2 linked regions of the Drosophila melanogaster genome follow. The protein of the gene in region 1 purifies or fractionates together with the protein of each later gene. This does not show direct contact. Each region holds a gene or a part of one and is shown in the gene's direction. Other genes may lie near its edges. The genes, in order: Elba1 and Elba2.

What was found.
Region 2: the proteins of Elba1 (region 1) and Elba2 fractionate together in Drosophila melanogaster (co-fractionation; one study listed by BioGRID). This does not show direct contact.

The regions. Positions count from the first base shown.
Region 1 is NT_033779.5:4,682,550-4,686,690, reverse strand, and holds Elba1 (early boundary activity 1), read left to right. Parts: upstream 1-2,229; 5' UTR 2,230-2,317; coding exon 2,318-2,320; intron 2,321-2,378; coding exon 2,379-3,467; 3' UTR 3,468-3,639; downstream 3,640-4,141. Other genes in the region: CG11929 (uncharacterized protein), read right to left, coding at 1-2,179, 3,647-3,714, 3,770-3,867. UniProt on the Drosophila melanogaster protein: The heterotrimeric Elba complex is required for chromatin domain boundary function during early embryogenesis.
Region 2 is NT_033779.5:2,575,692-2,579,796, forward strand, and holds Elba2 (early boundary activity 2), read left to right. Parts: upstream 1-1,995; 5' UTR 1,996-2,171; coding exon 2,172-3,317; 3' UTR 3,318-3,488; downstream 3,489-4,105. Other genes in the region: insv (insensitive), read right to left, coding at 1-881, 946-954; ND-B17.2 (NADH dehydrogenase (ubiquinone) B17.2 subunit), read right to left, coding at 3,665-3,735, 3,792-3,876, 3,928-4,105. UniProt on the Drosophila melanogaster protein: The heterotrimeric Elba complex is required for chromatin domain boundary function during early embryogenesis.

The DNA.
Region 1 (4,141 bases):
ATGCAGCCTAGGTCCTTGCCGGTTGCCATCTCACGCACCTTGATGTGGTAGACATTATCCTCTTGACGCAGTATGGTAAGGACCACGTCATCGAAGGGCCGCTGCCCAATTAGCCGAAATATTTCATCCATCAAGGAATCCAGAATGGGCAGACTGCCATCGCCACAGTATTGACAACCACGTGGCGGGTTATTCATCCGCTGGGTGTTCCTAAAAATTGCACTTGGTTTAGATTCTCCTTCTAGTTGACAGGAACCCCTACGTCCGTTCGCATCCAATTCCATATCCGACGTCTTAAGTTCCGATTTCAGTGCAGTGGATTTAATATTATGAGGAGTTTTCGAACAATTGAAGCTGGTCATCGGATTGGCACCCAAAATGGTTTTCTTCTCTGATATGCTCACTTTTTTGGGTCTGTCCTCCTCGAGGCTGTTGGATCTCGTAAACATTTTTACGAATTCCGGCAGTAAGCGATCGAATGAGTAGGACTCTGATTGGGCATTCTGCGCCTGATTATTTTCACACGACTTGGATTTTGTGAAATGACTAATAAGCTGTTCAATAAAGGATTTGTATAATTCCTTCTCTACACTTTTATTGGATTGTTCGGAACTCTTTGCCTCCAAGCAAGATGTGGAGGAAACCTTTGATTTGGGTTTTTTAACAATTTCACCCAGTAAGTTTTCAACCCCATGTTCAGTATCATTTTGTTTCGTGGGATTTGCAGAGAAAGCTGAAGTATTTCTAGACTTGTCGGAAAGTGTTTCTTCGCTTTTTGTTTTAGCAAAAACCCGATTAAATTGTTCTAGAAAATTTTCGGTATCTTTTAAGCATTGTTTAGCAGTTGGGAATTGGTCACCTTTCAGATGCATTTCATATCCATTCGCCTTACAACATCTCCGATTGTCTTTGCTAGAACTTCCATTACATTCTCTACTGCATTGTAGACCAGTTGAGTTTTCCGAGTTTATTGGGGTATCTGTGGTGCGTTGAGAATTATTTGATTTCTGCTTTTCTTGAGCAGTTTCAGGCTTCAAAAATATTTGAATAAATTCTTTGGATAGCGTTTTGCACTCGCAATTAGCTGTATCTTTTTTTTGTGTAGCCTGATCAACATTTTCAGGTTTTCTTGGCAATTTTCGCTCCTCGGAACGAGCTGTATATATTTTCTGGGATGACTGGTTAAAAGGTTCAGGTTTTATTGGCAACTTTTGTTCCTCGGAACGAGCTGTATATTTCTTCTGGGATGACTGGTTAAAAGGTTCAGGTTGTATTGGCAACTTTTGTTCCTCGGAACGAGCTGTATATTTTTTCTGGGATGACTGGTTAAAACCTTCCGGTTTTATTGGCAATTTGCGTTCCTCGTGTATATCGTTTATCTGTGATGCCTGATCAGATGTTTCTAGTTTTTTTGGCAATTCACATGCTTCCGGTTTACCTTGAAATATGATCCTACAATCAGAGGGTTTGCATTCCTGGACCTTCCACGATTTCACAGAGCCCTGTAGATCCCTTAGAAAAAGCTCCTGTCTCTTCATTATGGCTTCCAGTTTCTGAACTCTATCGAGGATTTTTGAACACGTTGAAGGATCTGAAGGCTGATCGTCTGAACTATTTGATTGTGTCCCAAAATGGTTTTCATATTGTGTTTCTTTATCTTCTTTTCTGGTAGTGACAGATACGTTCTCCATTCTACTTTGATGGATATTGGCTGTAAAATCGGAAGATATAAGAGCGCCGCCTTTGACTACGATTAATGGGCGCTTGAAAAAACATTTGCGCAATGAAGTATTCGATTTTCTAGGTCTTTTTTCTTCATGCTCAGTCTTCGAATATTTTTTCAACGGAAAACGGACAGTTTTTGGTTCTTCATAGTCCGTTTGCGTTTGTATGCTGTTAAGGTTTTTGGACGATACTGGAATCGATTGAGTCTCTACATCATGCATATTAAGCATCGATTGGGTGGATGCATCTTGGCCACAATCGAAATCCTCATTGGGATCCGTTTGGAAGACGGTTTGAGTGCCCATGTCCTCGGTGGAAGCTATGGTTTGGGTTGATTCCGAGGCGATGGCAGCGGGTTTCGGGCGTCCCGAAATGGAACGACAGCTGCAAGTTGCTCCGGCAGGTAGGCGAGTTGCAGTCGCCCCGGTGGGCAGCGAATCGGCCATGGAAGCATCTGCAAAATTAAAAAGGGTAATAAAAGGATTAATCAGTATTTGGAAGAAACTACCTGTAAAGGTTTTCGCATTGGTGGTATATAAGGTGTTGACTTATTAGCAGTAATTCAGTTTGCAAGTGGACAACAAGCAGCACAATGGTAAGTTAAATAGAAGCAAATACCAAGCATTTTAAAATAAAAAATCATTTCCTTGTAGATTAACCGCCGTCAGCGTTTGGAATTCGCCCTGACCCTATTGCCCTATGATCCCGAGACAGTTCAGTTGTCTGAAACGCAGAAAAAAGTGGAGGCGATCATCGCCCGCCTGCGAACGGATGACTCCTTTACGGAGGAGGAGAGCGATGACTGCAAGGTGCGGCGCATTCAAGATGCAAATGAGTTTGCCGATTCCGCCATGCGACACATCGAAATGTCCGATAGTGGCAAGCTGAGCACTCTGGAAACTCTTACACTGGCTGCTGAGAAGCTGCTAAGGACACAGCGTTCACCGGATCAGGATTTCGATGACATGGTGCAGGATGTGGAGTACTCGCAGCTGATGAGGAACACCATCCAGGCGGTAAATGAGGCGCGTTTGAAGCTTCTCCAGCAATGGGAGCGCAGTAAGCGCAAGGCTCTCGATCTCCTCACCATCGAAATTGAAAAGGTCCAGGAAATGGATCAGGAGCCAGAGCACAAACAGTCTCATGAGCAGGACCAGGATCAGGAGCAGAGTTCGGAGCCTTTTAACGCGTTTCGCGATGGAGCCGATGAGCACAACACCTCGACGCCGAAAACAAACGACGAAGATCTTGGTTTGGACGATGACGATGAGGACTATGTGCCCGGCGGAGAAGAGACAATGGGTAACAAGAGGAAGCGTATCAAGAAACCGGTGACCTCCACTCCGAATGCGAAACGGCGGTGTCCTGGTTTCGAATTCGACCTGGACGGCGAATCGCCGATGGTGACGATCGGTCCCAATGGCACCGAAGTTTCCCGCATTAGCCTAAGTGCCATCAACTGGGACATGACCGGACCCTCGATCACGAGGAAGCTGCTCTGCGAGATCTTCGACCGGGATACACTGGCCCATCATACGCTATCCGGAAAACCATCGCCGGCATTTAGGGACTGTGCCCGTCCCAGCAAACAGCAGCTGGATCCGCTCAAGGTGGCCGATCTGGTCTATCTGATGACTAACAGCCTGGACATGACTCCGCGGGAAGTGCGCACTGCCATCACCACCAAATGTGCGGATGAAAACAAGATGCTACGCTCGCGAATGCAGCGCAAATCAAAGTAGGAAACTTTTCCATGGAAACTCCCTGGGAAAGACCTCCTTTTTCATTTTCTAGGAATGAATTCCCGAAAGTAGGTCCATTTACCCGTTAAAACCCTAATTCTGATTCTACAGTATACTAAGTCCCGGCACAGCCGATAACACCAATTGAATAAAGAAACCCACTTTCTTACCCAACTCACCAGTGGAATTGAAATTGATGCGGGTCAGGGAGTAATCACTTTTCGTCTTCCTTGGGAAATAGACTCTTCTGAAAGTGCACGTTGTGAAATTGGAGAAACCACTGGAGAATGTCTTATTTTTACCTTCTTAATAACATTATCAGGCGTACATATTGGTGTTTTTGTCTAATTTGCTGTGCTGTCAAACTCCCTTTGACGATTTCTTTGTTCGGGGCACTCATTGGACACTAAATATAACAAATAATTTGGACTATGCAAAAGAAAATGTTTCTGATTGTCTAAACTGTACATAATTTATTACTCATTTCTATGTTCCATGTGGCAACACTGGTAGGGAAAAGCTATCTTACACACAGCATCGAATTTCGATAACGTATCGTTCACACTTGTGACTTTTCCGTGCTTCAATCAGTTTTGAGCATTACAAACAGACATAGTTATATGTTATTATATTTATAAAAATAAATAAAAATATGCGACCTGTTTAATGCAAAA
Region 2 (4,105 bases), 2.1 Mb from region 1:
TGGGTGGCCAGAGTTTCCCGGTCGAAGATCGTGACCAGTAGTTTCCGGGTGGCCAGCGAGCACACCGACCAGTTAATATTCTCGAAGACACTGGCGGGCACACAGGTGTTGTTCGGGCCAATGGACACCATCACGTTGTCCATGTTTTGCTGTTGGCCCTTGTTGAGATCGGTAAAACTGCCATTACGGGCTTTGACTTGGGGTTTGGCTGGTAGTTTTATGTTCTGCCGCGGGATTTCTTCCTGCAACTGAATCTCCTGCAGCTTGCGGCGTTTGATGAACTGTAGTGGAGTGTCGGCGGACTCGGAGGAACCATCCCTCTTTATGCCGTTGCTAATCCTGTACTGCTGCTGGGAATTGTGATGATTGCTCTGCTGATGATTCTCGTCGCCCAGGCAAATCTCCAGGCGATCTGAGTCCGCAGAGGTGCTCAGGCTGTTCAGACTCTCCGCCGCCAGGCGAATCTCAATGGCATCCGCATCGTCGGGTGCCGAGATGATCTTGTAGTCCAGAATCTGGGGATTCTGCGCGGGCGCACATATCTCTGAACTCGGTGGCGTGAGAATGTGGTGGCTCTGGACCGCGGGCGGCGTGGGTGGTCTACTTTCTGCCAGCAGGGAGGATGCCTGTTGCATCCTGGCGGAGGTGGCATGAATCTGGGATAGCAGATCCTTGTGCTGCTGCAGTTTGGCCTCCAAGTAGCGGACCTTATCGCGGAGCGCTCTGTTCTCGACCTCCACTTGCGGGTCCGGCGCGGAGATGCTGCGAAGCACCTCGAAGTCCACGCTAGAAGTCTGCGACCAGGCATTCAGAAACAAGGGCTTGCTCCTCCTTGCCTGCGAATCCTCGCGTGCAGTGGCGCTGACTATGCGCTGATATTGCTGCAATTCGATGGGAAAAACTCTTGATCAACATATTCGGTGGAGATATCCTGCAGCTACTCACGTTTTCCATGTTCAATCCTCAAAGGATCTGCGTCAACTGAAAATTGGCGGCAGAATGCGAAAAGTGGTTGCATTCCTACCTGCACGCACACATGCGCACGCATATACGGGGAAGAGAGCGCCTGCCTCTGCGTGTGTGTGAGTGTGCCCTCCAGGTAGCTGATATCCTATTCCTGTTTCTGTTTCAGGACCCCGTCTATTTCCCAACTAGTCCAAGTCCAGCTGTCTTTTCCTTTCTTCGCATGGGATTTGTTGTTTGCGCGGGAACCAGTATATGTATTATAATTATTATTATAAATAATTGCGAATAAAGCTGCTTTTGCTCTCTCTTTCATCGACAGGGTTGACACCTAGGGCTATGAAATAAAACTATCGGTTGCAAGTCACGAGGGTTTTAAATTTTTAAGTTCTCTCTATAAAGTTTTTTTCTTTTTCTTTTCAGAATATCCGTTTGGTTAAAATTCTGTATTCTGCACTTTGGCGAAGGTCAGAAAATAAGAGAAAAAAGTAAATGTAACAAAGGAATGTGTAAGAATTCTTTCCACAGTTCCAAGAACCAAAAAGGACAATAGTTGGGTTTTGTAAAAAAAAAACCGGTTTTCAGGACCCGGACTGCATATTATCCATTGCAATTTGAATGTATTGGGAACCCTTCCAATACATGAGATCCTTTTGGAATATAATTCTTCGCTCAAATGCTCTCTGATCGGAAAAAAAACACCCTTAAATTCCATTTTAGAAGGGATACCTATTTAAGGGTAAGTCTACTGGAATTCCGTCCATTGTAATGCATTTTGAATGAGCGGAAAATACACTCAAGGATATATGGTACTGCCTTTAAAATTTCAAGGCATAACTTTTTGAGTTAAAACATGTACGAGTATTTCGTATTTAAGACTAGCCTTCAGAAGCAAACGGTTTTTTAATCATGTTACTCCTATATTTCCATAAGAATTTAAGTAAAGCCTAAAGGCGAATATTTTAGACTCTACTTCCAATTATCGAATGCAAATTATCTTTATTCGGCGACCTTGGCAGCCCTGCAAGATTAAGATTTTCGGATTCTCAGGTATCTGGCGCAAGGAACAATAACTGTTAAGCCGGGCCATAAAACACCAATTTTTCCAACGAATAATACGCAAAATAAGCCAAGAAAGCCGACGCAGCTGCGTTTTTTGCCAGAAATAAACCTTTTTGCCTTTACCTGTTGCCAAAATCCGCGTGCAAATGGCCGGCGGATTTCGACCGTACGATCAGGACTCGTGTCCTAACCTTACAAATAGCGAGGCTCCGGAATTCAGCATGTCAGTCGTTTGCAAAACGGAGCCGCACTACTTTCATCCGCAGACTGCTATCCTGCCCAGCGTCCAGTACTCCCACCCATATCACCACTATCTGAGCCAGTTCGCCCCGAACTTCGTGCCCTACTACTACCGCCTGCTCTCGCGGCCCATAATGAAGCAGGAGGAGATGGACATCGAGAACTACATCAACTACGAGGTGGCCGCCCAGCAGACCATGATGCGCCAGCGGACCCTGAAGCCCCTGGGTCAGCTGCAGATCCAAATGCCGCCTCCCATAATAGTCAACCAGCCAGTTAAGCCAGTTCCCGTTAAGGCAGTGCCAGTCCGCCGAAGCTCTCCGCCCAAGCGACGCGTCATCAATGCCCAGTTGGTAGCGGTAGCCACCGCTTCCGGGGGCATTAAGAACATCGAACCGCGGGTGGAGCCACTGCCTCGCCTGGAGGAATCCTTTAAGCAGCAAGTGGCCAAAATCCAGAAGAGTCAGCACCACTACGAACAACTCTTTGGTCGTCTCACTTCCATGCTAAAGACCCTGAATCAGCGGTACGACAACGATGCCGAGGATGTGCCCGCGCCGCCCTCCAAGAGACCGCGCCACATGTCCACCAGTTCGTCGGAATCGCACATCCCAGATACTGCCTCTGAAAAGGACGAGAAAGACACTCTTGTGCAGTACCCGCACCGAGTGCAAAAGGAGGACGGCAGTGCGGTGTACGTACTGGGACCCAATGGCACCCAGATCACAGCCCATCAGTACGGTGAGGTCTTCTGGACCAACGCCCCGGTGGCCACGAGGTGTCTTCTTTGCGTTGTCTTCAGCAGCGATGAGTTGGCTACCCACACGCTGACCGGGAAGCCGTCGCCCGCATTCTACGGCCGCGAAAGACCCCCAAAGCTCCAGTTAGACCAACGCAAGGTGGACGACATCGTGGTCTGTGTGAGAAACCGGACGGGCGGCAAGGAACGGGTGATTCGGGCCACCATCACTACCAAGTGTGCGGATACCGCCAAGAAGTACAAGAGGCGGGCCAAGAAGGCCCAGAAGGTCGCCATCAAGGAGGAGTATTAGCATGGAGTGGACAACTATTGGCTAGATATAATCCAGCTATGATCAAGCTCTTCTCAACGACGCGCCACGAAAGGCGCAGAAAGACATTGTATATATTCGTAGTAGGTCCTGCTAAAAGTAAAAGTAAAGTTATATAATCTAGCTGTGATTGAATAAAGACAAGATGAAACCAATTCAAAACCTGAATAATATGGGAATAGGCAGAGTTACTTCACTTTTCTGTCCATTGCTAAAATTGTTCTTCGAGTGCAGAGTCAACAAAATTGGGTTTATTAACTCGATCGGGTGTTCTCATCAATCGCAGCCATTTGCACTTGAATTTAAAAATAATTATAAGCTATGCCACACTACTGCTTCTTCGCCTTGGGTTCCCAGGCCTCCACTTTGTTGGGTGTTGTGGAGTAGGGGTAGTAGGCCTCTGCAAGAGCAGGATTGAATTAGGGGGCTTACTTAATGGGAATAGTGCATAGTTACCCTTAGTTCCGGAAAGATTCTCGCTGTGGTCCGCTATCCACTTGTACTTGGGGCGGCATCCATCGCGAATGGGAGGCAGATCGGTCTATAAGGAAAAAGGTAATAACATGTGCGACAAGATGTAGTCTAAACCCACCTTGTAGTGCATCCAGCCGTACCACTCGGCGGGAATCATGGATCCATCGTAGTCCATGTTGACGTGGGGGGCGAACTCGATCCAGCGATTGCGGCCGTAGAAGTAGTACGGGTTCTCGAAGTACTTGTTGCCGTACTTGTCGATGCCCACCAGGGTTCCGATCTTCAGATCATCGTTC